Linked DNA regions of Nothobranchius furzeri. The protein of the gene in region 1 purifies or fractionates together with the protein of each later gene. This does not show direct contact. Links are inferred from orthologs where the notes say so. Each region holds a gene or a part of one and is shown in the gene's direction. Other genes may lie near its edges.

The links. Proteins that work in one complex are often made in the same cells at the same time.
Region 2: the proteins of eapp (region 1) and prpf6 purify together in Homo sapiens (affinity purification with mass spectrometry; 3 studies listed by BioGRID and IntAct, with this or other methods). This does not show direct contact. The link is inferred for Nothobranchius furzeri from reciprocal best matches to the Homo sapiens genes EAPP and PRPF6.

Annotation. Positions count from the first base shown.
Region 1 is NC_091758.1:7,749,924-7,753,935, reverse strand, and holds the end of eapp (E2F-associated phosphoprotein), read left to right. Parts: intron 1-2,915; coding exon 2,916-3,192; 3' UTR 3,193-3,500; downstream 3,501-4,012. UniProt on the Homo sapiens protein: May play an important role in the fine-tuning of both major E2F1 activities, the regulation of the cell-cycle and the induction of apoptosis. Promotes S-phase entry, and inhibits p14(ARP) expression.
Region 2 is NC_091755.1:59,889,524-59,893,819, forward strand, and holds the start of prpf6 (pre-mRNA-processing factor 6), read left to right. Parts: upstream 1-1,491; 5' UTR 1,492-1,546; coding exon 1,547-1,725; intron 1,726-1,907; coding exon 1,908-2,070; intron 2,071-2,150; coding exon 2,151-2,269; intron 2,270-2,400; coding exon 2,401-2,479; intron 2,480-2,730; coding exon 2,731-2,907; intron 2,908-3,283; coding exon 3,284-3,397; intron 3,398-3,475; coding exon 3,476-3,570; intron 3,571-3,655; coding exon 3,656-3,812; intron 3,813-3,896; coding exon 3,897-4,059; intron 4,060-4,296. UniProt on the Homo sapiens protein: Involved in pre-mRNA splicing as component of the U4/U6-U5 tri-snRNP complex, one of the building blocks of the spliceosome.

The DNA of each region.
Region 1 (4,012 bases):
CGTGATTCCAATGAGGTATGGCAATCGAGGGTTCAACCGTATCAGTCAGTCTAACTCACTGGTTCGAAGCTGCAGCATTAACAGAACAGAGCCATTTTCAAGAAAGATGGTTTACATCCAGATGTCCTGGTCCACAGCAAGTCCTGTGTTCAGCCCAGCAGCAAGGACTGCAGACAACATGCAACGTTTCCCTCCGATGAGTCTCATCATCCTCATTAGCATCCAAACGTTAGCTTCTAACTTTTTGAGTGACACAATCGCCCGTTGTCACGCGTGTGGCGCAAACCAACTGCATCACATGTGATAGTCGATCGATACGTCAAATAGCCAATGAATTTCAGAAAACGGCAAAGTGTTTCCTCGTGGCCTGCCTCCACAAACTGAGTAAGCACGACTGTGATTGGTTGAATGCCTCCTGTGGTGTCAGGCCCACAGAACGCGGTTATATCAGCCATCGTTTCTTTCACCCCTAGTGTTTACTAGGGTTTGTTTACTAGTCTGTTTGTTAAACAGACTAAGGTAAACTTGTTATGTGGTTAACTTTCAGCATCTGCACCATCACTGGTTGCCACGGTAACCGGTGTAGCGGTAAACCCCAGTAAAAAGGTGGACAATAATCATAACCGTCTTGTTTTTTTTAAATATATTATCTCGGTGGATTACCGTGGCTGCGGTGTAGGCGCGGTGACCCTTACCAGCCACCGTATCATCTGCTGAAGTTGCCGGCGGCACATGAGCACTTTGTTGTTTACAACCAAAACTTTCTTGAAGCTAAAGCTGAAATAATGGTCAAAGGAGGAGACGGCAGCGCTCAGGACATTTATTATCCCTCAAAGAAGACAAAGTGGGAAGTATGGGCATCTTTTGGATATTTGAAGAATGCCGAGAGACAGCTGATAGAAGACGGCTATCCTGTTTGCAGCACGTGCAGAAAAAGTGTCTGTGAAAGGCAGCAACGCTTCAAATCTCATGACACATCTGCGTGACCATCACCCACAACTCTACAGCCAACGCAAGGCAAGCTAACGTTAGCATTTTAGCTAAAGTGCGTGATCCGAGGATTTGGGTTGAGGTAGAACGCAACGAGTCGCTATATAAAGCAGCCGCAGCGCCGCTACCTGCATATAAACCGTGTCGCGGACACCCCCATGTTGAAATGACGCTATGCATTACGGGGCTCCCAGGGGCAGATAAGAGTTGGTCTCTCTCCGAGAATAATTATGAATTTAACAATGATTACTGCCTGATGACATTTTCCCACATCTGCAAAGCTCACTGGAAGGACACAAACCGAGGACAATATTTTCCTGATATAGGGTTTATTACTCAAGTAAGGGTAAAAAAGTATCTGATTAGAAGGCTACTTGAGTACTGAGTATCATCTGATCTAATATTTTTAAATGATGACATCAAACAGACATAAAATAAGAAGTTATGGGCAAATATTGGTATTTTAAAGACTAAAGGGGAAAAATGTAAACAAATAAACTAGGGCTGTCACGGTAACCGCAAAAATGAAATATCGCAATATGAAGAAACCCATCGTGCTGCATCATGGGCCACCGCGATTACTGAACTTGATTCAACTCAATGATGCATGTTGAGAAGGATGGCTGCACTGGTATCAAAACGAAACGTTACTTCGCTCCTTTGGGAGCACTTTGGTTTTCAGTACGTCAGCTGCTGCGCAGCCAGAGTCCTTGGCCAAGACAGAGCTGCCACCAGCGGCAAATAAATAAATAAATAAACGCTCGGAGACCTGCTGAAGTCCCGGACAAGCACTGCTTCTGCAACCGTCCCGAAGAGAGTTTGAGCCGAGCTGGAGCTCACTCGCTACCTGCAGGAGGAATGCATCCACCCTAAAGAAACCCCCCCGAGATGGTGGAGCAACAACCGGGAGAGATTCCCTTTGCTCGCCAGAGTCGCACGCAAGTACGTGTGCGTTAATGCAACGAGCGCACCATCCGTGAGGGTTTTCAGTGTTGCTGCAAATGTTGCCACCCCTCTCAGATCCTCTCTCAAACCGTATACGGTTAACATGCTGGTTTTCCTTGTGGGTAACAAGGACGTGACCGAGCTATAAATCACCGTCATTCGTGTGTGTGAAAGTGAAATGATAGTGCCCGGCGCCCGGTACATGTAATTTTTTATGCTTGATTTTAAACAACTAAACAAAATGGGGACTTGTTTCTTATTTGTTAGATGCTGCAGCCAAATTTGCATTTAAAAGTTTAACCTTCTCCTGAATTTTGTTGTTTTTAAATTCAGTCGGACTCCGACTGTCGGACAAACAAACGTTACTGCGATCTGTGTTGTTACTGCCCTTTGATCTGCATTCAGTAAAGTGTTATAAAAGAAGGCACGGCAATTTTTAACCTTTTTTAAATGTGTAAACATTATGTTTAGATAGTACTGCAATAAAAAAGTGCTGCAATAATATCGCACACCGCAATATTAAGCCACCCTGAATCACCGCAGGGGGAATTCCTCAACAGCGACAGCCCTAGAATAAACAAAATTTAGACACAAACTGAGGACAATATTTCCTGACATACAGGGTTTATTTAATTGTGTGAAAATGTAACACGTTTAAAAAAAAATACTGCGATAATACTGAAAACCGTGGTAATTTTGGTCACAATGACCATGAGGTTACATTTTCACACCGTGACAACCCTAGTTGGTTCTACGGTGGCCAACTTGAATCGGGTTGATTTCATACATTAATCAGTTGTAAATCCACTGACGACCATTGAGTTTCGTTAAAATGTGCCCAGTGTTTAGATATTTGGTTGATAGAACACACACTCATCGTTTTTTCATGTACTAGAAAAACTTGATGGTCTGTTCACTGAAAACTCGTTTGTGACATCCACACCTTGTGTGGTCTGAAGCTTCTTGTTGCGTTCACTCAGGCATGAGAAGTACCGGACGCAGTATCGAGCCATGTTTGTGATGAACTGCACGGTGAAACGAGACGAGGTGCTGCGCTACAAAACCAAGCAGCTGAGGAAGCAAAGAAAGCGGAAAAGAGGACAGAAAGTCGAACCCCCTGCAGATGCACCAACCAGCTCCACGGACCCTGATGAGGTTTACCACCCAGTCACATGTTCTGAGTGCTCCACAGAAGTGGCTGTGATTGATAAAGATGACGTCTACCATTTTTTTAACATCCTTGCCAGCCACTGTTGAGGTCGACTGAGGGTGCTGTATTGTAGACTTTTTTATTTGTGCCATCAGTTTCCCTCTCAACGCTGAAGTTTGTGCTGCTCAGAGGAAGCTAGTGGTGAGGGATGCTGCACTACCACTCATCAGAGGGTTCTCTTCTCACCTTGCATCATGTATTATTTTAGTTTTCCTGGTTGAGGTGGACACTCCTGCTGTGGCCAAGAGGACTAAATCTTTTGATCTGAATGATCTCAAACAAGTCATTTAAACCATCCCATGTCATTCCTAATTTAAAATAAAAATACTTGGATAGACAAAGGAGGGGAAAACCACAGGTTTTGTTCTGGTTTTCTTTTATCCTTAACACCACGTCATTACCACGGATGCTGCTAGTCTCTTGAATTGGAAGGGTGGTGAGTCTCTGACTCAAGTGGAGAAGTTTGAGTGTGTTGATCTCATTCCTGAGTGATGGTAGGATGGAGGAGAGATGGACCAGTTGGTGAGGGCTGGGTCTTCAGCGATGAAGGTGTAGCTCTGGTCAGTCACAACGAAGGAGTTGAACCAAAGACCTGGGACGTGGTTCATGACCAAAGATGGAGTCGCATGTAAATAAATGATAAATGACCCGCACTTGTATAGCGCCTCTCAGAGTAAGGACTCCAGAGCGCTTTACACTACAGTGTATCATTCATCCATTCACACACACATTCACACACTGATGGTGGTGAGCTACGATGTAGCCACAGCTGCCCTGGGGCACACTGACAGGCGAGGCAGCCAAGCACTGGCCCCACCGGTCCCTCCGACCACCACCAGCAGGCAAGGTGGGTTAAGTGTCTTGCCC
Region 2 (4,296 bases), on another chromosome or scaffold:
GGTGTTAATATTGGCCTGTATCAGGAATGACTTTCCATTTATCATCCTGACATCGACCTTGATCAGCTATCTGTAGGTCAGCTTTGAGATAAACACACACATGATATGTGGCTCTTTCCTTTAGTCATATATAAATGTGCATTTTATTGTGTTCTAATTATTCAATCAAAACAAAATCATCATTTAAAGACTCACAAGGACATAAAACACACTGATGGGAGGAAATGCAGTTTGAATTAAGCTTCATATTTAAATCTGTCCTTGTACATGTGAACCACCTAGCATCTAATCCATCTGACGGTCAATTTTCTTCCCTAACATCCTCTCCCACGGGTAAAATAACACCATCCCTTCAGGCGATGTAAATGAAGAAAGATGTAGAGGCTGGATCCCAGGCTAGGAGTGAAGACGGCTGAAGTTAATGCGATTGAAACTAATTGATGAATGGTTTCACATCATCTCATGAGATAGATCCCAAAAATGTCATGTTAGCATGTAATTACTTATTGCACTCTGGCATCTCTGTTTGAGTGTAGGTTTCTGAACCTGAAATGTCAGATGAGTTATTGATGTAGCATGTTGGCATGTGTCTAATGGGAATTAATGGAAATCATCACAAATGCATGGCTCATTTGACCTAAAACTATGTACATTACAAGCAATATAATATATGTGCAGTCAGACAGGCAAGGAGTGAAAATATTGTATTCAATTTTCAAACAGCATAAAAAATGATGTATTTCTTTCAATTTGGCAACCTAATTATCTGTGGGATCAAATGTCATCTGAGTCATCCTTGTCTTAATTAGGGCTGCAGGTCCATTAGTTGTTTCTGTAAACAATGTCTAGGTAATAATTTTTTACTAAACAAACTAGAGAGGAAATGACAACAGTATGTATGAGTATTTATCTTACTCTACCCTACCTCCACTTCAAACTCTAACCCAGGACTGCCAACGTAGGAGTGAGACAGCTTTTCTTTTTTTTTTTTTTTTTTTTTTTTTTAATGAACCAGATACTGATGAGGCATTCTGCATTAGGCCAGTCAAAAATGACCGTTCTCAGTTTTGCACAACTTGAGGTGGTTCATTTAGGATGGATGAAGATACTATGATTTATCTAGTTTTTCTTTTTATATCTTAAAATTGAGTATAAATAAATATCACGTGTGTGTGTGTGTGTGTGTGTGTGTGTGTGTGTGTGTGTGTGTGTGTGTTTATGTTGTATATAAACATTGTATATATGCATGTATATAAGTATATATTTTTCCCTCATTGTACTATTTTAGACAATTGTGTTTTGGTGTTTAGAGTAGCATATCCTAAAAGATAAATACTATTTACTCAGTTTAACTTTATTCCATCTAATTGTATTTTTATTTTATTTTCTACAGTTTGGCGCACCCGTGTGGCAAACTTTAGCGGTCAATCAATCAGCCCGTCCTGTTGGGGGCGCTGTAACAGAAAACAAGAAAAAGGAAGGAGTCGAGAGCGGAAGTTAAACTGTTGTTCATCTGCTAGTGAGTGTGCACGTCGTTGCAGCAACGATGGCTACCTCTGGAGCAAAACAAACACCTAAACTTGTCTCCAAAACCAGCGCGGGGGGCACAGGGGCGAGTGGCGCGCCCCCTGTAATACCTCTTGCCTCTCCGCTTATGGGGAAAAAGAAGAAGCCGTTTCTGGGGATGCCCGCTCCGCTAGGTTACGTTCCTGGTCTCGGCAGAGGGTAAGCTAATTTGATGCTAAGTCGTTAGCTCCTCCAGTTGCGTGTTTGTTGACAACTTGAATTGTCCACCTTCTGCATGCAGTGTCAAATAAAACAACATTTTAAATACATTATAACAATGGTTTGTGCTGTTTGCAACAAAGGACAAATCTCCGATCTTAAGGGTTATGTTGCGGTTTCAGTGCCACAGGATTCACCACCCGGTCCGACATCGGTCCTGCTCGGGATGCCAACGACCCCGTGGATGATCGGCATGCTCCCCCAGGGAAGAGGACGGTTGGTGACCAGATGAAGAAGAATCAGGATGATGATGACGAAGATCTAAACGACACCAACTATGACGAGGTCTCAATAACTAAATGCTTTTGTTGGCATTTAATACTTCAGTGCATCCAGTCAATAACTCCTGTTTGCTCCTTGTACAGTTTAATGGTTACGCTGGCAGCTTGTTCTCCAGTGGGCCTTATGAAAAGGACGATGAAGAAGCAGATGCTATATATGCGGCACTTGACAAGAGAATGGATGAACGGCGCAAAGAAAGAAGGTAAACTATAAAACTAATCTACCTCTTGACCAAAAAAGACCAAACACCTACAAAATAAGTGCACAGAGCATCCCTTTTTCATCCCTGTGTTGATTTAATGTGTTTCTGATACTGTCTGTGGTTGCTCGTAGGGAGCTGAGAGAAAAGGAAGAAATAGAAAAATATCGTATGGAGCGTCCTAAAATCCAACAGCAGTTCTCAGATCTGAAGGTAAGTTTTCCACATTTATTCTATTGTATTCACGATGCCATTATTTTTAGGTATCTATCTTTAATGCATTTTGTGCAGGTTAACAGCTGACTCTGCATACTGATTTGTTTGCATTCATGTTTTTGTGCTTTTAAACAAATTTGTGATCTTATTTGCCATTTGTGAAATGGTAATGCAAAGGCACATGAAATTACAATTATTAATCTCTCTTAGGATCAGACACGCATCTCTGTTTTATCATTTAATTACAGAGAAAACTAGCAGAGGTGTCGGAGGAGGAGTGGCTGAGCATCCCTGAAGTTGGAGATGCCAGGAACAAGCGACAGAGGAATCCTCGCTTTGAGAAGCTCACCCCGGTCCCTGACAGCTTCTTCTCTAAACACCTGCAGACCGGAGAAAACCACACATCTGTTGATCCGTTACAAGGGGTTAGTAGTCATGAAAACACACTACAAGCAGGTCACCGAACATTTGTTGTAGTTTCACCTTGCCCCAGCAGGAGTCAGAATAACTGTTCAGAGATGTGCAGCCATGCATTATATTGTCAGTAAATATCTGCTTAAGAGCATCAACCTCATGTTTAAACTTGAAACTATTCATTTATCTACTTGATTTCATGCATGCAATGTTTAAATACTTTAACTGGAAACAGCAGTGTTTACTTAGACAGAGCTGGCTCCATGTTTAGTTCTGCAGAATATAAAGCATCTTTTACGTGTGTCAGTTATAGCTGTGAGAAAGGATTCAGCTTTCTTTAGCTGTTCACACACGCTGTAACACAATTCCTGCTTTCTGTCTTGGTAGCTGGGCGGTCTGAACACACCATACCCAGGCAGCATGACTCCTGGAACTGGAGACTTGGATATGAGGAAAATCGGTCAAGCCAGAAACACTCTCATGGATATGAGGCTCAGTCAGGTAGACCTATCTAAATCCTGAGCTTCTTTCACATTTATCAAGATTTTACCTGTTTTTATTGTTTTTCTCTCCACTAAGGTGTCTGATTCAGTCAGTGGACAGACAGTGGTGGATCCTAAGGGTTACCTGACAGATCTCAACTCCATGATCCCCACTTATGGAGGAGACATCAGGTATAGAAAAGTTGCCCATAGGAAAATTTCCTTTTGAAATAACTTCTTATGTGTGTTTGATGAATTACACCTAAATCTCACCCAGCGACATCAAGAAGGCTCGCCTGCTGTTGAAATCTGTGAGAGAGACTAATCCCCATCACCCGCCGGCCTGGATTGCTTCTGCCAGGCTTGAAGAGGTGACGGGCAAGCTGCAGGTCGCCAGGAACTTGATCATGAAGGGCACAGAGATGTGTCCTAAGGTAAAAGGGGTGTCTGCTTTGGTTCCATGCACAAAGGCTAGATGCTGATAACCTTCAATAACAAAATATCTCTCTCTTAACCAGAGTGAGGACGTGTGGCTAGAGGCAGCAAGGCTCCAACCTGGTGATACGGCTAAAGCTGTGGTTGCTCAGGCTGTTCGCCACCTCCCACAGTCTGTCCGCATCTACATCAGGGCTGCTGAGCTCGAAACAGACATCCGTGCTAAGAAGAGGGTCCTCAGAAAGGGTAAGGCTTTTAATTTTGCTTTCTCTGTCTGCAACTATCATCAGAAGCTTCTCACTGCTTTGTGGTTATAAACGGAGGTTCACGTTCCTTCCCAGCAGCTCGTGTGTGAATGAGTTTGATTCTGCTGCGAAAAGGACGACACTCATTTCTCCAGGGCTGAAATTCAAAGCCAGTCTCAATCTGTTGATTGTCTCATGAAATCACCCTCACAAAGCTATCGGAGTTACACTTGGCTGC